Linked DNA regions of Nothobranchius furzeri. The protein of the gene in region 1 purifies or fractionates together with the protein of each later gene. This does not show direct contact. Links are inferred from orthologs where the notes say so. Each region holds a gene or a part of one and is shown in the gene's direction. Other genes may lie near its edges. The genes, in order: smarcd2, bcl7a and ss18.

Region 1 (4,254 bases):
GTTGAGCAGGAACAACCGTTTCAAGCGCAACAATCTGCACAAGCAGTATTTTGTTTGTAAAACACAGAAAAGCTTAGACATTAGGTAAACTCAAATGTCCTCACTGTTTTTATCACATACCTTAAAAATAATGTCAAAGACAATCATGATGATGGTTTGTCTTTTGTTTTCATTCGGTCAGGGTTACACGAGCAGCTCTGTTTGTTTTTCACCTGTGAAAACTTGTCAGATAATGTTCAGGAAATGAACGGTTAATTGTACAAGAAAGCTGCAGAAAGCAGGTTTTTTTGTTTTGTTTTTGGTGGATAGATCAGTTTGTTTTCTAGCATTCAAATATGTCTTTGTATCATGTTTACATTGTAAAGGGTTGCAAATGTCTGTGGTGTGAAGTGGTAGTGTAAATATTCTAATAGTTGAAATGCTGCTATCATGACTCAGTTTGTTTCATCAGTCTAGCATAATAAATGATTTCTTACCTGTCACAAGACTTTGGGCTCATGAGGCGCTCGTCTGACCACCAGAGGGAGCGTTTGGTGAATCCAATCAACCTGTTTTAAGGGAAAACCTACTGAATGAGTAGGTCACATTTAGATTTTTATCAAATTTGAACAGTTTAAGTTAACCTAAAAGAAAAAGTCTGCACACCCTTTATTAACCTCAAATTCTTGTCACCCAAAGACAAATGTCTCCCAGTAAAATGAAGCGGCTTCAAGCAAACTTCAAAATAAAACTTTAAAAATGTTTGTTTTTTCTGGACTACATTATCTTTTTGGCACGTCTTATGAAAGCTGAAATAAGCAGGTATTTTCTGAACAATAGTTTTGCTAGTTGGTGGATTTTTAAGAATAATAGTAACTGATTCTATTATGTATCAGTTTAGTTTTTAAAAATGTTAAATTATACATTGTTTTGTTCTAATAAAGCAATTGTTGCCATAAAACATCAAGAGTAGCCTAATTTAGTTTGAATTAGAACAAAACAATTAAAAGACATTAGGGGGAAACTGATTATTTCTAAATGGTAATCAAGGTACAGCAGTAATAAGTAATAAGAAACATTTCGACTTCCAGCTTTCTTTTTCTGTTTGCATAATGCCTGTGATTACTTCCATTTAAGAAAGTGGGCGTGCACTAAGGCAATGTCTTATAAAGGTCACATCTCAAAAATAAAATGCATTCATTTTAATGAGAGAATATTAACCGGTAAAATATTTTTCTTTGTGTTTTCTGAAAAATATGTTTTGAAGTTGATTGAGCGCCAAACCCATGAACTGATATTTCCGATTGTCCTGAAGGCAGCATGTTGGTGTCGCGTGTGGGCAGTTCAGGGTACTTTAAGTCGCTTCAGGACTGTAGTTTGTGGTAAGTCAGGCGCTGTCAGCTTTCACGGTAGCCTCCCGGTGAAACAGTGGAGTCTGTTGGTGCAGTTTATTCGTATAAAGATGGGTGAGATATGACAAGCGTCCACCGCTCCGTGTCTACAGAAGGAGCAAAAATAAGGTAGGAGGAGATCCCGGAACTTCAGTCGCTCTAGCTAACATTAGCTAGCTTTTTGTTGACAGTGTGCGTTGCTGTCAAACCCGGACATCACCTCCGCAGCACTAGTGGTCGGTAACGACCGCTTCTTCTGACTTCCTGCGCGAGTGACGTCCACTCACCAGCTTCCTATCGTACCTTGTTTCGTTTGAAGTTTCTGTCACTTTTAAAACAAACAACTTGTGGAGTTAGAAGATGGCATCAAGAGGGGGCTTCCCAGCTCCCCAGATGAATCCGAATGTGAACCCCATGAATGTTGGCCATGTAGCGGGGATGAGGATGCCGCAGCCCCCGGTGGGTTACAGCCGGAGCATGAACAACCCCCAGTATACTCAGGTTTGGTTTCTTTTTAATTGTGTAAACACATTTCATGATGTGGAAAATATAAAACTAATAATTATCGTTAATAAAGCTGGTCATTCTGACAGCTTGTAATGACTAAAACAATCTCTACATATTAATAGAAATCAATTTATAACCCATAAGAATGTGGGTGGTGCTTCCGCCTTTGAGAAGTCTCTAGTTACTTCCTGGCATCATTTTAACAAATACTTTTTTAGAAATGCGTCTCCCCATCACTGAGATCCTTTAAAATATACTATTCAAATACGGTTAAAAAAAAGTTACATTCAGTTAAAAATGATCGATGTCACGTGGTTGCCTTTGGCCTCTTGTCAGTTAGAGAAAAAGTTTATCATTACCACCATCTGCCCATGGGCAAGCCTGCATGCATATATTATTGCAGCGTTGCCTCCATCTGCAGCGTTGTGTGGTGTAGCTGACAGGCAGCAACACATTCAGAGATCGTTGCGTTTCTGCTACACAAGAATTCAAACCAAACAGTATAAAGTTTGTGGAAAAATAAAATAGTGGAGCATAAAAATCCACTAAAACGCCTAAAACCTGCAGTGATTTATTTTGCATCCTGATATACATCGACAAATATAACAAAAATATTATTGTGATAGGATTTCCCCTGGCTCTTGCACATCTATAATCTTTAATTCTATGTTTTTTCAGCCTTTTGTAAGCAGTTTTTGCAGGGCCCCACTGATGAGCACAAGGCCTCTTAAGTGACGGGTGTGGCCTTTAAAAACTTTATTTGCACGGCTATGTGCGAATGTAATAACCATGTGAGCAGTCTCAACATGGGTTAAGCTGCTTTTATTGTCGACAGTCCTAATGTCTTTTTTTGGATCGTTTAAGTAATGGTAATAATAGAGATGCACCGATGATGCTTATTTGTGATTTGTTTTAATGCAGTTGGTTGCACAAACTCAATTATGTTCCTGTGTCAAAATGCAGTTAGTTTTTGGAACTACATAACCTGAGATGTTTGCTGATTGTTCACTAAAGTAATTTATAGTTATAAGTGAAACTGATAGCATTTCCTACTCATTAATTTAAATAACACCATGTAAACAGCTTTTTCTGTTTGTGTTAAAATGTTTTTTTTGTAAAATGCATAAAAAGTAAACAAACCACTAACTAAAATGTAGCTTTGAACAAGAATCCATGTTTAACAAGGGGTGCTTATGCATCTGAGGTGAAAGGAAAGTAATAGTAGTCATTTTAAGCATAAACATTTTTGGAAGATTGTTTACCCATGCCTCATGCTACTACAAGAATAGGTGTGTTTCCTTTACCAGAACTTCAGGGTAAATGCAGCGAGGGGGAAACTGACCGGGAGAGCTGAAGGGGCGGTCCTCTTAGCTGTTGTGTCTCCATTTACAGTTTGGTTCTTGGTTGGTTGGTAAGGAATTTGCTAAAACGTCAGCACATTGCGACCGCTGTGTTGTGAGTTACATCATTGATTGGTGCAAAACATGCAGACCGCACCAAAAGCAGTGAACAAAACATCACTTCCAGGCTCAGGCATCATGGCTGAAATTCCAGCGCCCCCACCCTGATTTCCGACTGAGTTACAAACAATCAGCAGCATTCCCACTCATCTACTGCACTGGGCCATTTACCAGGCCACTCCAAGTCCCTACCCTTGATCAGGTACTCAGAAGGTTCCTGAAAATGGCCATTTGGGCGGCCCGGTCAAGTAGAGACACGTCTACCCTGAAGTTCCGGTAATGGAAATGCCCAGTTGTTTAATTATCTAATTTATAGTTTAAAATACTTTTTTTATATTCTAGTGGAAATAATTGCAATTAAAAAAAAAACACAGCTTCAATCTTCCTCCTCCTACTCCAGCGCCCTGGGATGCCACTTGGCAGAGTAGCAGGCCCCATGGGGTCAATGGGGGGTCAGCTTCCTGGTCCTTCCTATGGCGGTGGTAACATTCCAATGCGACCAGGCATGGGATCTCCAAGCATGGATGCCTCCAGGAAGCGTTTTCTTCACCAGCAGCAGCAGCAGCAGGAGACGATGGGAGGCCTGAGGAGAGGGTAAACTGTTGGGCCAGTTTTGTGACCCTAAATTACTCAGATAAACATAAGTGAAAAAAATACTCAGTTTATTTCATGATACAGAAAAGAGCAAAAGTCCACAATAATAGTTGGTTGTTAGTTTTAACTGTTTTTGCACACTTTAGCTTTAAACGTGTCACGATGAAATGTCATGTTTATTTAAATTTCACCTTCAGGCTTTCATGGAAATCAAGTTGCTGCTGCAGAAATGTCAGATGGGCCTGATTTTCAAAACCAATGAACATTTCCAGATTAGGACAGATGCAATAATGGACTAATCAAACTCATGGGTTGACTCTGAA
Region 2 (2,411 bases), on another chromosome or scaffold:
GATGTTTGTATGCTTTCTTAAACAAAGAGGACAGATTTCTACAGCCTGGTTTTTAATATGTGGTACCTGGCAGGCTCTGTAAGAATCTGATTTTGGTTGTATGGCAACATTTATTACATTTAATTAGATTTTCTTAATTTTTGTACATGGAAAAAGACCAGTCATATTGTGGCTCCGTTAATCCAACTGTGCAGTTACTCCACACAACCACACAGTGCCACTAGAGAGCCTAAATGAGTCAGACTGATTTGTTGCTGTGTTAAATTCCAGGTAAGAACATTTCTTTATCAGAGACCTCAGAGAGGGCACCAAGCACCAAGAGAGACAGCATGTCCTCAGGAGAGAAGGATTCTTCTAACAGCAAAGCCACTCAGGTACAAACACGTCTGTGACCACCTGAGAGGAGCAGGGACCATGTGGGCGGGGCCAGTTTCATCTGTTTAACTCTGCTTTCTAGGAACAAGGGATGGGGGTAAATGACAAATATGAGTAGTAAATTCACTTGTGTGTAAAACGTGTCTTTAGAAAGAGTAGGATAAACTTGATACAACCATCGCTTCCATCTTGCCCTACTCCACATCCTCATCCAGAGTTGAGATGCGATTCTCAGCAGAACTGAACTGAAATTTTTATAGAGACGCACCAAAGACATATAGTCCTCGAGGCATTTACAATGTGACATTGATGCTCGTCCCTTTTGACAGATTCCTGCTGTGTGTGTAATATTACTGAACCTAATTAATTCAGTCCAATGATAGACCGTCTCTAACAGCGCTGCTGACATCTAACGAGCAAAAGAATGGCACGAACAGCAGAAATAAAGGTTGATTGGGTCATCAGCTACACTTCTGTACTGAGCCTATTTAAAAACTGCATCCTCCATTTAAAACTTTCATAAACTCGTAAAAAGCAAACTTTGACCATTTGTCTTTTGAGAATATTTTTGTGAATTATCTTATCTATTAGTATTTGGGGCTCTTAAGGTTAACATGCATTAATAAATTCTAATGGTCAGTAACGCGTCGATCAAAATAAAACAAAAACATCTGTGATGCTAGCGATGTGAGTCAAAGTAAACTGGACATGTTTTTTTTTACTGTTTCTTTTCTCACCTGAGGAGTACATTTTGAATTGAGACCGACTGACAGAACAAATTCTTTCTTTGGCAGCTAACGAGTCGGGCAGCTCACTCTGTCCTTATAGGACTCATTTGTTTAGTTTTCTGGGTTACCACCGAGATGAGAACAGGAATGGACAGTGAAGTGATTTGGGGATGGGAGAGAAGTCTTGTTTTAGCAGATCTTTGCACATTTTAAAAACACGTTCATCAGTGTTAACATTCTCAGCAGCATAACTGATATTTCTGCACACATGTAAAGTACATTTACATGTTTTTGGAGCTTACCGGACTCCAGCAGCTGTGTGTTTAGCACACAGATTAAATTAAATGGAGTTACTCATCTTGATTCCACCATGCAGCCGCTTAAAGAGAAGGATGTTTTAGTTATGGATTCTGGTGAAAATCTCACACTTTGTTTCTCTTGTCTGGCTCCTAGGACCTACAGGAGGAGGCCCCGCCCAGTAAGAAAAGCAAACTGGAGTCCTCATCTCAGGACTTTGAGGAGAGCTAAAGATTTTGGGCTGAGTCATTTCTCTCCTCATCCTCCTGTGTCCCTCTCTCTGTACCTCCTTCCATTAACTCTAGGTGATTTAGGGCTAATGGACACACCGGCTCTCCTCACTCCCTTTTTATTATTATTTTTTATTCTTCTGCCAATTTTTCTCTTCCCAAACTCACAAGACCAACGAGAGAATGGCCGTCTCTCTCCCTGTACTCTCCCCCGCCACCGAGGGAGGATGGATATTACCTCTGTTCACTGCTCCCCCTCCGTGCTTCCTTACAGTCCTCCACATTACTTTGCCAAGAGAAATGCCGACCCCAGGCTGCGGTCCCCTTTGTGACCACAGGAGGCGCTGTCAACTCAGCACTGACCTGCTTCTGTGAGTGAAAACAGTGGGTCTGGGATTAGGACGAGGTCGATCGCGAACGCTGCTCTGAGACTGCTCTTTAATTGTTTTACTGCTAGTGGTTTAGCTCAGGATAACTGGTGGGGCTAACCTGGTCTCAGATCAGCAGCTGCGGGGGGGGGGGACCTCCACCCTAAGGCCCAGTCACTTCAATCCTCCCCATCTGCCTCCTGTTAGACTAATGTTCTCTGTTTGTTTAGGAAATGTTTTTTTTATTTTTATTTTTTCCTCAGGAGGGTCAATGCACTGTTATGGTATGTCACAATCGATCACAGAGATAGATTTGCTGCTGTAGTGGATGTCTTTTTTCTCAATTCATAAAGGTTCTCCATTCATGTGTTTCTAAAGTGAATTAGCTTGTGGTCCATAGAAGAAGGCGACGG
Region 3 (3,657 bases), on another chromosome or scaffold:
TCATTCCTAGTAGAGACCACTGCAAATGTATTGAACAAGAGTTCAACACGTTTAAGTCACTGTGGGGCATGGTTGTGTTCGACAGGTCCGGTGATGCATCAGCAGCCTCCATCGCAGCAGTACAACATGCCCCCTGGTGGTGGTGGACAGCACTACCAAGGCCAACAGACCCCAATGGGTATGATGGGTCAGGTCAACCAAGGGAACCACGTCATGGGGCAGAGGCCAATGCCGCCCTACAGACCTCCACAGCAAGGTAAACCACTCAGTGTGTCAGTTCCACATCCAAGCAGAGTGTCGGTCTTCCTTCTCCTTTTCCCTCCTGTGTTTCTCACTCTTGTTCCTCCCAGTCTGTTTCTATTTCATCTTCTGTAGACTGCAGACAACTTGTTCAGTAACGGTTTAATCCAAAATCCCGTGTAAAATTAGTTGTGACAAAGGGAAAGCTCCTTTAAGATGAACTAGAAGCAAGGAGTCTATCCCCTCTACCCTCTCCTCCCCCCTTACACAGCAACAGCACCTTGAATCTACATGTGTGTATGTTGTATGTAGGACCCCCCCAGCAGTATCCAGGGCAGGAAGACTACTATGGCGACCAGTACAGTCACGCAGGACAGGGCGCCTCAGAAGGTAGGAGAACCCTGCAAGTCACTTGGGAGAACACAGACAATCAGTCAACCCAGGAGTTGAGTCAAAACACAAAAACGATGCTTCGACTAGGGTTGTCACGGTAACCGGTGTAGCGGTAAACCCTGGTAAAAAGTTGACAATAATAATAACCGTCTTGTTTTTAAAAAAAAAACGATATTATCTCGGTGGATTACCGTGGCTGTGGTGTAGGCGCGGTGACCCTTACCAGCCACCGTATCATCTGCTGAAGTTGCTGGCGGCACATGCGCGCTTTGTTGTTTACAACCAAAACTTTCTTGAAGCTAAAGCTGAAATAATGGTCAAAGGAGGAGACGGCAGCGCTCAGGAGGACATTTTTTATCCCTCAAAGAAGACAAAGTGGGAAGTACGGGCATCTTTTGGATATTTGAAGAATGCCGAGGGACAGTTGATAGAAGACGGCTATCCTGTTTGCAGCACGTGCAGAAAAAGTGTCTGTGAAAGGCAGCAACGCTTCAAATCTCATGACACATCTGCGTGACCATCTCCCGCAACTCTACAGTCAACGCAAGGCAAGCTAACGTTAGCGTTTTAGCTAGAATGCGTGATCCGAGGATTTGGGTTGAGGGAGAATGCAACGAGTCGCTATACAAAGCAGCCGCAGCGCCGCTACCTGCATATAAACCGTGTCACGGACACCCCATGTTGAAATGACGCTATGCATTACAGGGCTCCCAGGGGCAGATAAGAGTTGGTCTCTCTCCGAGAATAATTAAGAATTTAACAATGATTACTGCCTGATGACATTTTCCCACATCTGCAAAGCTCACTGGAAGGACACAAACCGAGGACAATATTTTCCTGATATACGGTTTATTACTCAAGTAAGGGTAAAAAAGTATCTGATTAGAAGGCTACTTGAGTACTGAGTATCATCTGATCTAATATTTTTAAAATGATGACATCAAACAGACAAAATAAGAAGATATGGGCAAATATTGGTATTTTAAAGACTAAAGGGGAAATATGTAAACAAATAAACAACATAATTACAAAATAACACATTTTAAGCAAAATTTAGACAAACTGAGGACAATATCTCCTGATATACAGGGTTTATTAAATTGTGTGAAAATGTAGCACGTTTAAAAAAAAATACCGCGATAATACCGAAAACCATGGTAATTTTGGTCACAATAACCGTGAGGTTAAATTTTCACACCATGACAACCCTAGCTTCGACAAAGCAAAACATTTCAGTTTCTGCAATGCATTCTGGGGATTTTAGGCTCTAGATGGCTCATACTTATTTTACATGCTACTTTGTTAATTTTTTCAGTTTTTGCAATACAGTCTGCATGTTCATTTTCTGTAAGCAATTATAAGTCCAGGTTTACTGACAAATATTGAAAAAGCAGCACAAACTACCATCTAGCGTAACTGTCTTGTTACAGTGTCATGAGACGGTTACAGTAGATGTCTCGTGACGCTAAAACATTTGCAGTTTGATCTGTTCAATTCACTGACTTGGTAAAAGTACAAAACTCTTCCTCTTTGTCTTGTTAACATTTACTTTTGTGGTTTTGTTTTTCTTCTAATAACCCTTTTCCTCCCTATGAACTTTCAAACATGGAGCTTATTTTTTCTAACAAGAAAACAAATATCTAAAGTGTGGGTGTGTACAATCTGCCACCAAGTCATGTTTGTTCACTTTTAACTCAAAATAAACTAAAGTAATTATGTCTAGACTTAGAAAAGTGCTGATCCGTTTCTGTCTGTTTTAGTGAGAGAATTAGTTTAGAATTTCAGACCGTAGTTTTATGGTTTTATTTAAAATATTCTGTGACTTTCTGCACATTTTAAAATGAAAATGAGCTCAGTTACTTTACATCTAGCATTGGTTTTGTTTGTTTGAATCTTGGTGTGTTTTAACAATGCCTGCTGATGCTGTTCGAAGGTAATGCGCAGTATGGCCAACAACAGGAACCGTACCAGCAAGGCCCGCCTCAGCAGCAGGGCTATCCGCCACAGCAGCAGTACCCGGGTCAACAGGGCTACCCACCGCAGCAACAAGGCTATGGTGAGTTTTGGGGAACTCGTTTGTCCTGTAGGAGGCACCATTGGCTCTCTTGGCGGACTTCGTCTAACTTGAATGATTTAATTTGAGTGAGGTGCTAGTTGCTATGTCACCATCATCTGGAGCAAAACATAAAAGGACTGCCTTAGTAAGCTGCAGTCCTGTCTTATTAGCTTCCTCTTCTCATTGCAAAAGTTATCTGTTCATACATTATTAAGTACTCATTTCCTCTACAGCTCATGTGTTGTATATGCCCAACCCCTGGCTTGTGGTTAGACTCCATGATAAAACCGAGCCAAACCTCAACGTAGCGGTAATAAATACACGCATTGAAGAATTTGTAGAATAGAAGTTCAAAGATCTTTCTTCTGTTATTTCCCATCACTCGCTGCTATCTGAGCCAGAGCTCATGTTAGTAATGAGCTAGCAGAGGCTGAGGTGAGATCCATCTGGCACATACACATGCCTGTTCTCCGAGGCCCCCACAAGGTTATGCACAGCAGCACAAGGCATTACAAGCGCCTAACGATGCTGCGTGGGCCTCATTTGACTTCAACCCTCAGTCCTTCACAACGGCTGGAAAGATGGCAGTCCTGAACAGAGGTTGATGAGATATATAAATATCTATATGTATATTTTTTTCTTTTTAGTTTTAATGATGCTTGCTTCTTTAATGAAGACAAACTGAAATTCCATGTCTCCTTGAGTTTGGGAGCCATCATCCAGCAGATTTTATTACAGTCCACTATAACAGAAACCTCCCAAAGTTTCTCAAATAAACGTCTAGAAGTGGATGCTATAATGAGCTGTAAGCACACAGGTTCGATGGAGGGCAATCATGATCTATGTTGTCAAGCTTGTTGAAGGATTGAGTTAGGGCTGCACGATATTAGGAAAACCTGCAATATTCGATAACAGTGCTTAATATTGCGATATCGATATTACTCACGATAAATGAACAAATACTAAAG

What was found.
Region 2: the proteins of smarcd2 (region 1) and bcl7a purify together in Homo sapiens (affinity purification with mass spectrometry; 5 studies listed by BioGRID and IntAct, counting the BioPlex papers as one, with this or other methods). This does not show direct contact. The link is inferred for Nothobranchius furzeri from reciprocal best matches to the Homo sapiens genes SMARCD2 and BCL7A.
Region 3: the proteins of smarcd2 (region 1) and ss18 purify together in Homo sapiens (affinity purification with mass spectrometry; 4 studies listed by BioGRID and IntAct, counting the BioPlex papers as one, with this or other methods). This does not show direct contact. The link is inferred for Nothobranchius furzeri from reciprocal best matches to the Homo sapiens genes SMARCD2 and SS18.

What each region holds. Positions count from the first base shown.
Region 1 is NC_091756.1:35,517,640-35,521,893, forward strand, and holds the start of smarcd2 (SWI/SNF-related matrix-associated actin-dependent regulator of chromatin subfamily D member 2), read left to right. Parts: upstream 1-1,329; 5' UTR 1,330-1,730; coding exon 1,731-1,871; intron 1,872-3,737; coding exon 3,738-3,931; intron 3,932-4,254. UniProt on the Homo sapiens protein: Involved in transcriptional activation and repression of select genes by chromatin remodeling (alteration of DNA-nucleosome topology).
Region 2 is NC_091746.1:40,397,333-40,399,743, forward strand, and holds the end of bcl7a (B-cell CLL/lymphoma 7 protein family member A), read left to right. Parts: intron 1-270; coding exon 271-374; intron 375-1,556; coding exon 1,557-1,631; 3' UTR 1,632-1,779; downstream 1,780-2,411.
Region 3 is NC_091751.1:52,442,454-52,446,110, forward strand, and holds part of ss18 (protein SSXT), read left to right. Parts: intron 1-85; coding exon 86-256; intron 257-552; coding exon 553-630; intron 631-2,566; coding exon 2,567-2,689; intron 2,690-3,657. UniProt on the Homo sapiens protein: Appears to function synergistically with RBM14 as a transcriptional coactivator. Isoform 1 and isoform 2 function in nuclear receptor coactivation. Isoform 1 and isoform 2 function in general transcriptional coactivation.